3 linked regions of the Xenopus tropicalis genome follow. The protein of the gene in region 3 binds, or shares a complex with, the protein of the main gene of each other region. Links are inferred from orthologs where the notes say so. Each region holds a gene or a part of one and is shown on either strand. Other genes may lie near its edges. The genes, in order: crnkl1, cwc15 and ppil2.

Evidence for each region.
Region 1: ppil2 (region 3) and crnkl1 share a complex: the UniProt entries of both Homo sapiens proteins name them as parts of the minor spliceosome. The link is inferred for Xenopus tropicalis from reciprocal best matches to the Homo sapiens genes PPIL2 and CRNKL1.
Region 2: ppil2 (region 3) and cwc15 share a complex: the UniProt entries of both Homo sapiens proteins name them as parts of the minor spliceosome. The link is inferred for Xenopus tropicalis from reciprocal best matches to the Homo sapiens genes PPIL2 and CWC15.

The regions. Positions count from the first base shown.
Region 1 is NC_030681.2:36,926,148-36,930,571, forward strand, and holds the start of crnkl1 (crooked neck-like protein 1), read left to right. Parts: upstream 1-1,511; 5' UTR 1,512-1,540; coding exon 1,541-1,588; intron 1,589-3,848; coding exon 3,849-4,001; intron 4,002-4,424. UniProt on the Homo sapiens protein: Involved in pre-mRNA splicing process. As a component of the minor spliceosome, involved in the splicing of U12-type introns in pre-mRNAs.
Region 2 is NC_030678.2:164,525,026-164,527,925, reverse strand, and holds the end of cwc15 (protein CWC15 homolog), read left to right. Parts: intron 1-1,960; coding exon 1,961-2,090; 3' UTR 2,091-2,265; downstream 2,266-2,900. UniProt on the Homo sapiens protein: Involved in pre-mRNA splicing as component of the spliceosome. Component of the PRP19-CDC5L complex that forms an integral part of the spliceosome and is required for activating pre-mRNA splicing.
Region 3 is NC_030677.2:154,131,847-154,135,505, reverse strand, and holds part of ppil2 (peptidyl-prolyl cis-trans isomerase-like 2), read left to right. Parts: intron 1-313; coding exon 314-474; intron 475-740; coding exon 741-816; intron 817-1,154; coding exon 1,155-1,261; intron 1,262-3,659. UniProt on the Homo sapiens protein: Has a ubiquitin-protein ligase activity acting as an E3 ubiquitin protein ligase or as an ubiquitin-ubiquitin ligase promoting elongation of ubiquitin chains on substrates.

The sequences.
Region 1 (4,424 bases), on a different chromosome or scaffold from region 3:
GCAATAAAAGTTTCCTTATCATCATAAAGCTGGCCATACACGCACCGATACTATCGTACGAAACCTTGTTTCGTACGATATTCGGTGCGTGTATGGCATGTCGGCGAGTCGACCGATATCGCAGGAAGCTGCTGATATCAGACGACTCGCCGATCGGCCAGGTTAGAAAATTTTGATCGGGCGCCATAGAAGGCGCCTGACCAAAATCTGCCGTCAGGGCTGAATCGGCAGAAGGAGGTAGAAATCCTATTGTTTCTACCTCCTTATCTGCTGTTTCAGCCCTGACTGTGTGTGGCGGATCTGACGATGTGTCGCACGAAACATCGTTAGATCGCCACGTGTATGGCCAGCTTAAGACCTGCATGAGTGGCTTCCAATTTTCCCTTATTCGCTACTACTTGAAGACTGCATCCAGGCATAACAAGCTTCCTTAAATGTGACTGCCGGCAGCTCCTGTTTCCATATATATATATGGAATTTTTTCAATAAAAACATTTTTTTCTTTTGCATCAAACCCCTGTGTGTGTGGCATTCTTTCTATTATATATATATATATATATATTACCAGAGGGGTGGCACATGGCTTTAATTATATACCCAGGTGCATGGTAAAAACATAACACATACAAAAAAGACCAGCAACACTGGGATTTCTGTGCAAATCAAAAAAGTATATTTAAATGTACATATACAGCCAACGTGACGTTTTGGTCCTCCCTAGTACCCTTTCTTTAAATGCACATTTCAATATACTTAACTCATGATCCATAGCACACAAGCTAATGTCTGCTCAGGTAAGGTCTTGGCTCTCAGATCATGAAGGTGCAGGTGAAATAATACAAATAATGAAAGCCCTTAGGAGTCAGCACCCCAGAACACGTCAAAGTGTATTTTAAAAGACTATAACAGAAAAGTATATCAAATTGTAGAGAGTTCCAGAACCTTAACGTGTTTCATTGGGCTAAACTGTATTTACTCAAAGGCAAATGTTCATAATATGTGCAGGTTCCATTTTCAATAACAAAGACAGAACAGGCGGACACAATGCATAAATAATTAATATCAGCATTTACAGATAGTGTTCATTTACTAACATACTAGTTGGTGCTGAACTTTGCGCCAGTGCAGAAACCCTAGCACCCAATCAGCAGTTAGCGCCGAGGGGCTCTTTGCCCAATGCTTAGCGGCGCACAGTGGTCACGCAAGGCCGGCTGTGGGTTCCAGACCCATACATGTTATTTTCACTATTCATGCTAAATCCAAGGTTATACAGCACGATATGCAGCTTCCCTGTTACCTGTCAGGAAGCTCAGTGGGTTCGGTCACTTGTGCAGGCAGCAGCTGTAAGGCATTCGCTCAGGATCAGGACGCGATACTCGGTTGCTATGGACACGGGACTGGGCGTGACATTCATCAGGGGCGGTCACCGAAACCAGCAAAAGTCCTACGGAGACTATTACGTAGCACGTAAAACCAACGCTACGTCATTACGCCCCGTCTTGGTGTTTCCTGTCAGGTTGTGTTGCAGACGTGAGGAAACATGGCGTCCACAGCGGCGGGGAAGCAGCGAATTCCAAAAGTGGCCAAGGTAATAAAGTTGGGATAGATTCTTAGCAGAAGGTCTGTACGGGGGTTTGTATGACTTGCTGATGGAGTTGTCTTACATTTAGCGATAATACGAACGCTGTGGTTGATGGGTAGCGAGTAGAACCCAGGAGAATTAGTATTCATAGCTGTGCCATCCTTGTAGCCCCCTCATTCATAGCTGTGCCATCCTTGTAGCCCCCTCATTCATAGCTGTGCCATCCTTGTAGCCCCCTCATTCATAGCTGTGCCATCCTTGTAGCCCCCTCATTCATAGCTGTGCCATCATTGTAGCCCCCTCATTCATAGCTGTGCCATCATTGTAGCCCCCTCATTCATAGCTGTGCCATCCTTGTAGCCCCCCTCATTCATAGCTGTGCCATCCTTGTAGCCCCCTCATTCATAGCTGTGCCATCCTTGTAGCCCCCTCATTCATAGCTGTGCCATCCTTGTAGCCCCCTCATTCATAGCTGTGCCATCCTTGTAGCCCCCTCATTCATAGCTGTGCCATCCTTGTAGCCCCCTCATTCATAGCTGTGCCATCCTTGTAGCCCCCTCATTCATAGCTGTGCCATCCTTGTAGCCCCCTCATTCATAGCTGTGCCATCCTTGTAGCCCCCCTCATTCATAGCTGTGCCATCCTTGTAGCCCCCCTCATAGCTGCCATCCTTGTAGCCCCCCTCATTCATAGCTGTGCCATCCTTGTAGCCCCCCTCATTCATAGCTGTGCCATCCTTGTAGCCCCCCTCATTCATAGCTGTGCCATCCTTGTAGCCCCCTCATTCATAGCTGTGCCATCCTTGTAGCCCCCCTCATTCATAGCTGTGCCATCCTTGTAGCCCCCCTCATTCATAGCTGTGCCATCCTTGTAGCCCCCCTCATTCATAGCTGTGCCATCCTTGTAGCCCCCCTCATTCATAGCTGTGCCATCCTTGTAGCCCCCCTCATTCATAGCTGTGCCATCCTTGTAGCCCCCCTCATTCATAGCTGTGCCATCCTTGTAGCCCCCCTCATTCATAGCTGTGCCATCCTTGTAGCCCCCCTCATTCATAGCTGTGCCATCCTTGTAGCCCCCCTCATTCATAGCTGTGCCATCCTTGTAGCCCCCCTCATTCATAGCTGTGCCATCCTTGTAGCCCCCCTCATTCATAGCTGTGCCATCCTTGTAGCCCCCTAGGCCCTCCCCCTCATTCATAGCTGTGCCATCCTTGTAGCCCCCCTCATTCATAGCTGTGCCATCCTTGTAGCCCCCCTCATTCATAGCTGTGCCATCCTTGTAGCCCCCCTCATTCATAGCTGTGCCATCCTTGTAGCCCCCCTCATTCATAGCTGTGCCATCCTTGTAGCCCCCCTCATTCATAGCTGTGCCATCCTTGTAGCCCCCCTCATTCATAGCTGTGCCATCCTTGTAGCCCCCCTCATTCATAGCTGTGCCATCCTTGTAGCCCCCCTCATTCATAGCTGTGCCATCCTTGTAGCCCCCCTCATTCATAGCTGTGCCATCCTTGTAGCCCCCCTCATTCATAGCTGTGCCATCCTTGTAGCCCCCCTCATTCATAGCTGTGCCATCCTTGTAGCCCCCCTCATTCATAGCTGTGCCATCCTTGTAGCCCCCCTCATTCATAGCTGTGCCATCCTTGTAGCCCCCCTCATTCATAGCTGTGCCATCCTTGTAGCCCCCCTCATTCATAGCTGTGCCATCCTTGTAGCCCCCCTCATTCATAGCTGTGCCATCCTTGTAGCCCCCCTCATTCATAGCTGTGCCATCCTTGTAGCCCCCCTCATTCATAGCTGTGCCATCCTTGTAGCCCCCTCATTCATAGCTGTGCCATCCTTGTAGCCCCCCTCATTCATAGCTGTGCCATCCTTGTAGCCCCCCTCATTCATAGCTGTGCCATCCTTGTAGCCCCCCTCATTCATAGCTGTGCCATCCTTGTAGCCCCCTCATTCATAGCTGTGCCATCCTTGTAGCCCCCTCATTCATAGATGTGCCATCCGTGTAGCCCCCTCATTCATAGATGTGCCATCCTTGTAGCCCCCTCATTCATAGCTGTGCCATCCTTGTAGCCCCCTCATTCATAGCTGTGCCATCCTTGTAGCCCCCTCACATTTGTCTTCTGAAATGTTGGTATCAAGGCTGAACCCACAAATGTGCACCTGTTTCTGAACTGGAACTAGCATCTTGCGTTCCAACAGTCAACCTGCTATTCTACCAGAAATATTCCTTTTTCCCTAACTGACTTTGTGTTCTTGTTCCACTGAAGGTTAAAAACAAAGCGCCGGCAGAGGTGCAGATTACAGCCGAGCAGCTGCTGAGAGAGGCCAAAGAGAGGGAACTTGAGCTTCTGCCTCCACCTCCTAAACAGAAGATCACAGATGAGGAAGAGCTTAATGATTACAAACTAAGGAAAAGGAAGGTAATGCTTTCAGCCGTGGCTAAAACTCATTTACCATGGGACAGCATTTGCAGCAGTAGGGTGCATTTTATACAGATGCTGTCAGGTCCTCTCTGCAGCATGGAAGTTTATGTTTAATCTGTAGTTCTGTGTTATGATTGCTGAGCTGCAGATTGGCTGGCATCCTACAGTGCAAAATGCTGAAATGCAGGAAATGTACAGATGCCTGCTGCAAGTAAGGTTTTGGGGATATGATTCTAAAAGTTGTATAAAAATACATTTTGTTAACATTTTTTACATGATTACATACAGAAAAATTTAGAAAACAATGCATGAACACTATCGGAACTTCCAGAGAGTAATCTAAATGTTTTTTTTAAGGATATTATTGAGATATTCACTGCTGCCTGTGTCCATGATGATGTCTCATTCATAAATGAATTG
Region 2 (2,900 bases), on a different chromosome or scaffold from region 3:
TGCCATTTATATTCTATATATACAGTATAGCGTGACATTTATAGTCTATATATACAGTATAGTGTGACATTTATATTCTATATATACAGTATAGCGTGACATTTATAGTCTATATATACAGTGTAGCGTGCCATTTATAGTCTATATATACAGTATAGCGTGACATTTATAGTCTATATATACAGTATAGCGTGCCATTTATAGTCTATATATACAGTATAGCGTGCCATTTATAGTCTATATATACAGTATAGTGTGCCATTTATAGTCTATATATACAGTATAGTGTGACATTTTTATTCTATATATACAGTATAGTGTGACATTTATATTCTATATATACAGTATAGTGTGACATTTATACTCTGTATATACAGTATAGTGTGACATTTATATTCTGTATATATATATATATATATATATATATATATATACAGTATAGTGTGACATTTATATTCTATATATACAGTATAGTGTGACATTTATATTCTATATATACAGTATAGTGTGACATTTATATTCTATATATACAGTATAGTGTGACATTTATATTCTATATATACAGTATAGTGTGACATTTATATTCTATATATACAGTATAGTGTGACATTTATATTCTATATATACAGTATAGTGTGACATTTATACTCTGTATATACAGTATAGTGTGACATTTATACTCTGTATATACAGTATAGTGTGACATTTATATTCTATATATATATATATATATATATATATATATACAGTATAGTGTGACCGTTATACTCTATATATACAGTATAGTGTGACATTTATATTCTATATATACAGTATAGTGTGACATTTATATTCTATATATACAGTGTAGCGTGCCATTTATATTCTATATATACAGTATAGTGTGCCATTTATATTCTATATATACAGTATAGTGTGACATTTATATTCTATATATACAGTATAGTGTGCCATTTATACTCTATATATACAGTATAGTGTGCCATTTATACTCTATATATACAGTATAGTGTGCCATTTATACTCTATATATACAGTATAGTGTGCCATTTATACTCTATATATACAGTATAGCGTGCCATTTATAGTCTATATATACAGTATAGCGTGCCATTTATAGTCTATATATACAGTATAGCGTGCCATTTATAGTCTATATATACAGTATAGCGTGCCATTTATAGTCTATATATACAGTATAGCGTGACATTTATAGTCTATATATACAGTATAGTGTGACATTTATAGTCTATATATACAGTATAGCGTGACATTTATAGTCTATATATACAGTGTAGCGTGCCATTTATAGTCTATATATACAGTATAGCGTGCCATTTATAGTCTATATATACAGTATAGCGTGACATTTATAGTCTATATATACAGTATAGTGTGACATTTATAGTCTATATATACAGTATAGCGTGACATTTATAGTCTATATATACAGTGTAGCGTGCCATTTATAGTCTATATATACAGTATAGCGTGACATTTATAGTCTATATATACAGTATAGCGTGCCATTTATAGTCTATATATACAGTATAGCGTGACATTTATAGTCTATATATACAGTATAGTGTGACATTTATAGTCTATATATACAGGATAGCGTGACATTTATATTCCATATATACCGTGTAGCGTGACATTTATATTCTATATATACAGTGTAGTGTGACATTTATACTCTATATATACAGTATATAGTGCGAGTGGGCCCCTAAGCTCAGGTAAGTGACAGCAGCACAGAGTGTGGGGAGGGAATCAGCAGAAAAGGAGATGGGGGGGTAATGGGGCATCTTTGGGGGCACAGACCTTCCCTGCTAAAGGGCTGTGGGTGCTTTGAGTGCAACACAAGCCAAGCATATTGAGCCTCATTAGTTGAGTGTCAGTTCTCCTTAAATATTCCTGCTTACAAACGGCACTAACATGGGTCTCCCTTCTGTCTCAGGTGGGACGACGACGTTGTATTTAAGAACTGCGCCAAGGGAGTCGATGAAATGAAAAAGGACAAGAGATTTGTGAATGACACTTTACGTTCTGAATTCCACAAAAAGTTTATGGAAAAATACATCAAGTAGTACAGTTTTATGTGCTCCATTCTGGAGGTGGTTCCTTTAATGGCTGTCGGACTTTAGAAGGCCATGTCTTTGCGCTGAGTTGCGCAGCACCCGCCTCATCGTGCTCAGCGACATCACGCTTCTTAATTGCTTGTCTTTGTGTGCTCATCAATAAATAAATTCCATTTGTTTTCTACTTCTATGTTTCCGTAGTTCTGTTTCTTCTGTTTTGGTTCTGAATGTTGGATAAAAGCACCGCTCTGCCAGGAACAGGTTGGCATTAGTTACAGTGGGTTTCAGTGATTATGTATTCTGCTGTGGCCCCTTTGCATTCCCAGCACCCTAATCCCACTTATATTAGAGCATCCCATGCAATTGCCCACTCACGTGCTGAAGATTGTTGTATACGCCACTAGTCTTGCATGTTAGCAGGGTAGCACCCCACGGAGCAGGTTAGTTGGTTTGCATGCACTGTGCTATAAAGGGGTTGTTCACCTTTGAGTTAACTTTTAGTATGATGTAGAGAGTAATATTCTTTGACAATTTACAATTGGTCTTCATATTTTATTATTTGTAGTTTTTTCATTATTTCAATCATTGTTCAGGAACGCGCTCCAGTTTGGAGTTGTAACAGCTACCTGGTTGCTAGGGTCCAAATTAGCTTAGCAACCAGGGAGTGGCTCGAATGAGAGACTGCTATATGACTAGGAGAGGGACTGAATAGAAATAAAAGCTATATAAAGGAACAATAACAATAAAACTGTAGCCTCACAGAGCAATAGTTATTGGCTGTAGGGTCAGTGACCCCCATTTGAAAGTTGGAAAGAGTCC
Region 3 (3,659 bases):
TTTTACCTTCCAGAATGAAGAACTGCTACATGTAACAAATGATTAGTACATGGAATTTTCAAAAATTGTTAGTTTACTATTCATACAAATTTATTTTTTTTAAATATATATTTACAGACACACACTTTATCCAGATGCTAGTTTTTATTACTTATATGAATATAAGGATATGCAAGGACTCGTATCCTCTGTGTTTCTCAATGGTCGCTGTGAACAGCAATTTCTTGTTTAAAACTGGTCCAGCATGCACGTAAGAAGTAAAAATGTATTCAGTCAAAAAGATATCTTTGTAAATTTACTTGTTGTTTTTCAGATGAGGAAAAGGCACGTCAGGACCCATCATATTACCTGAAAAATGCAAACATGGAAACTCGGGAAACTCTGAGTGAGCTTTACAGAGACTTTAAAGGGGATGAAATGTTGGCAGCCACTATGAAAGGCCCGGAGAAAAAAACAACAGATAAACTCAATGCAGTGTGTATACATTTATCTATCAGTTTATCTCTTTTTTTTCCCTACATATTCCTGCAGGGTGTGCTTTCTGTCACTGTTTTAGACTGTCTTTGCTCACTCAGTTCTCTGACTCCAAGCTGTTTCTCAACTAACCACTTAGCATTTATATCATTTCTATTGTAATATTTTGAGCAGCTAAGGAATGTCTTAATATTAGTGTAGGTGGTTGGATAACAACAGTTGATAACAGACCCTTTGTAATCTAAATGATTCATCTTTTTTACCAGGCTCATTATTCTACGGGAGCTGTGAGTGCATCCTTCACCTCCACAGCAATGACTCCTGAGACTACTCATGAAGCTGGTAAGATGTCACAGATTTATTGTGTGTGTATTGTAGTATACTTTATCAGGAAAATAGTTGGCAGATACAAACTGGACTCTGAATAAAGATGAATGTGCAGAGCATTCTGATTGATTGGCAGATGTTAAGCCATAGTAAATAGGCATATCCTCAGGGAGTAGAGGAAAGCAGAGGACATTCTTTGTGGGGGTGTTGGTACAAGAAATATAATTGTATGGGGTGAAGTCGTGCTTGAGTCTATATCACAAAACACTAAAATTGGCTCACAGATCATACACAGATCTCTTGGTGTACCCAGGTCTGTACCAATAATAATTAAAATTACTTCATTCTTACAGCTGCTATTGCTGAAGACACCGTGCGTTATCAATATGTAAAGAAGAAAGGTTATGTTCGCTTGCACACTAATAAAGGTGACCTCAACTTGGAGTTGTATTGTGACAAGGTAATTCAAAATTGCTGTCTTGCCTCCAGTGTTACTTATATGTTACTTAAATGACAAAGATTCATAAAAAGTATGTTTTTTCTTTTTTTTCTTTATATGTAAAACAGAATACTAAAAATGGCGATCAAAACCTGTAATTTCTTTATATGCCATATTAAATTAGTGGAAATTAATTGGAATTTAGTATAAATAAAGTTCAAAAAGATCATTAAAAAAAAAAACTGTTGGGTGTAAGTTGTCAGTAGCCATTTATTGGGTGTAGCACAAGATAGGATGGGCCCTCTGATTTTTTTTTTTTTTTTTTTTTACTCTGTAACCCATGTTTATTAAATGACTGTAAGATCCCTGTGCATTATAAATCAGTATAAAGCCTTTGGTAACTTGCTGGCGCTATATCAATAAATGATAAACTGCTTGTGAGCAGCCAGTTTCCTTGAGGCTGCTGGGACATTCCAGGCTTTTATGCAGAACAGTTTTCACAACAACAAAAATATAGAGGTATCTTGTTCTTCACTATAATACATTAAGAGACTAAAATCTCCCCATGGTGCAGTAGGGTCTCCAAGCAGTGCAAGGCACTGACAAGCAAGGTTGTGTTGCTAAAGGACTTTGCAATATACATATATGTGCCATAAACTGAAAGCTTGGGCAGTGCTCCTTTAAATTAGGGATATCTTACTTTGAAAGGTCCCTTCACTTTGCTGTTGTCGGTAGGTTTTTTTTTTCCTTTAACCCTTTTACTGCCAGCCATTTTGGTCAAAGCGGAACTTGTATTGCCAGACAGTTTTTGAACATTTTGCACTGTTTCACTTTAGGGGCCTTTCCTCGGGGGGACTTTTAGTTTACCAAGGAAAACAATATATCGTTTTTTTCAGAACAACCTAAGCTTTCAAAATATGGTAGAATTTTTGTGTAATTCCAATTCTGTAACAAGATATAGGCTTCTAAATGTCTAAAAATGCAAAAAAAATCAAATTTTCCATAATATAATCACACATACTAGAAACAAAAATTATTTTATGCACAAATATACAACTGATTTGGAAAGTCCCATGTCTCCTGAACGTGCCAATACCAAATATATATAGTTTTATGGAGATTTCTCACTTGTATAGGTCAAAAACTCCCAGCAGTACACTACCAAATTCCCAAAGCACTGCTCCAAAAAAACTGCATACTTTGGATTTCAAGGCCAAAATTCCACTAACAGAAGGTTTATCCCAGAAAATTGTACATTTTTGGAAAGAACAGATTCTGGGGAATACAGAATAGGCACAACTGTCTGTCTACTCCAAACTATCAAGTCGCAATGCTTTCCTAAAGTTATTGGTTTTTATCAAAATTTGTGATTTTTTTTTTAAAAATTGCTTCAAAGCTTCCAGTCTATAGTATCTTATCTCCTACAGGTCATAAAGTAACCAAATAAAACACCCTAAATATGAATGCCTGGGGTCCACTGAACAGTTTGATGCCCAATATGTATAGGTTTACCTAAGTATGTGGCATGTAGGGGCCCCAATGTGAACATACCCCATATGAACTGTCATTTCTGTCATTTCAGCTTCTGCAAAATCAACACATTTACATCATTATATGTGGGATAAAGCTAGTAAAAAGTATGCTCACCCCAGAAAGTCATATATTTTTGGAAAGTACACATTCCCCCGAATCTAAAATGGGTACCCATGTCTTTCTACTCCAAAGTACCAAGCCGCACAGCTTTTCTAAAGTTAGCAATTTTGATGACATTTCCAAAAATCCCCTCAAAGCTTCCACTTTGAAGCATCTTATCTCCCACATAGCATTAGGTACCAAGATAAAACACCCTGAATTTGAACGCCAGGGGTCCACTGAACAGTTTGATGCCCAATATGTATAGGTTTACCTAAGTATGTGGCATGTAGGGGCCCCAATGTGAACATACCCCCATATGAACTGTCATTTCTGTCATTTCAGCTTCTGCAAAATCAACACATTTACATCATTATATGTGGGATAAAGCAAGTAAAAAGTATGCTCACCCCAGAAAGTCATATATTTTTGGAAAGTACACATTCCCCCGAATCTAAAATGGGTACCCATGTCTTTCTACTCCAAAGTACCAAGCCGCACAGCTTTTCTAAAGTTAGCAATTTTGATGACATTTCCAAAAATCCCCTCAAAGCTTCCACTTTGCAGCATCTTATCTCCCACATAGCATTAGGTACCAAGATAAAACACCCTGAATTTGAACACCAGGGGTCCACTGAACAGTTTGATGCCCAATATGTATAGGTTTACCCAAGTATGTGGCATGTAGGGGCCCGAATGGGAACATACCCCCATATGATCTATCATTTCAGCTCCTGCAAAATCAACACATTTACATCCTTTATGTGGGATAATGCTACAAAAAAAG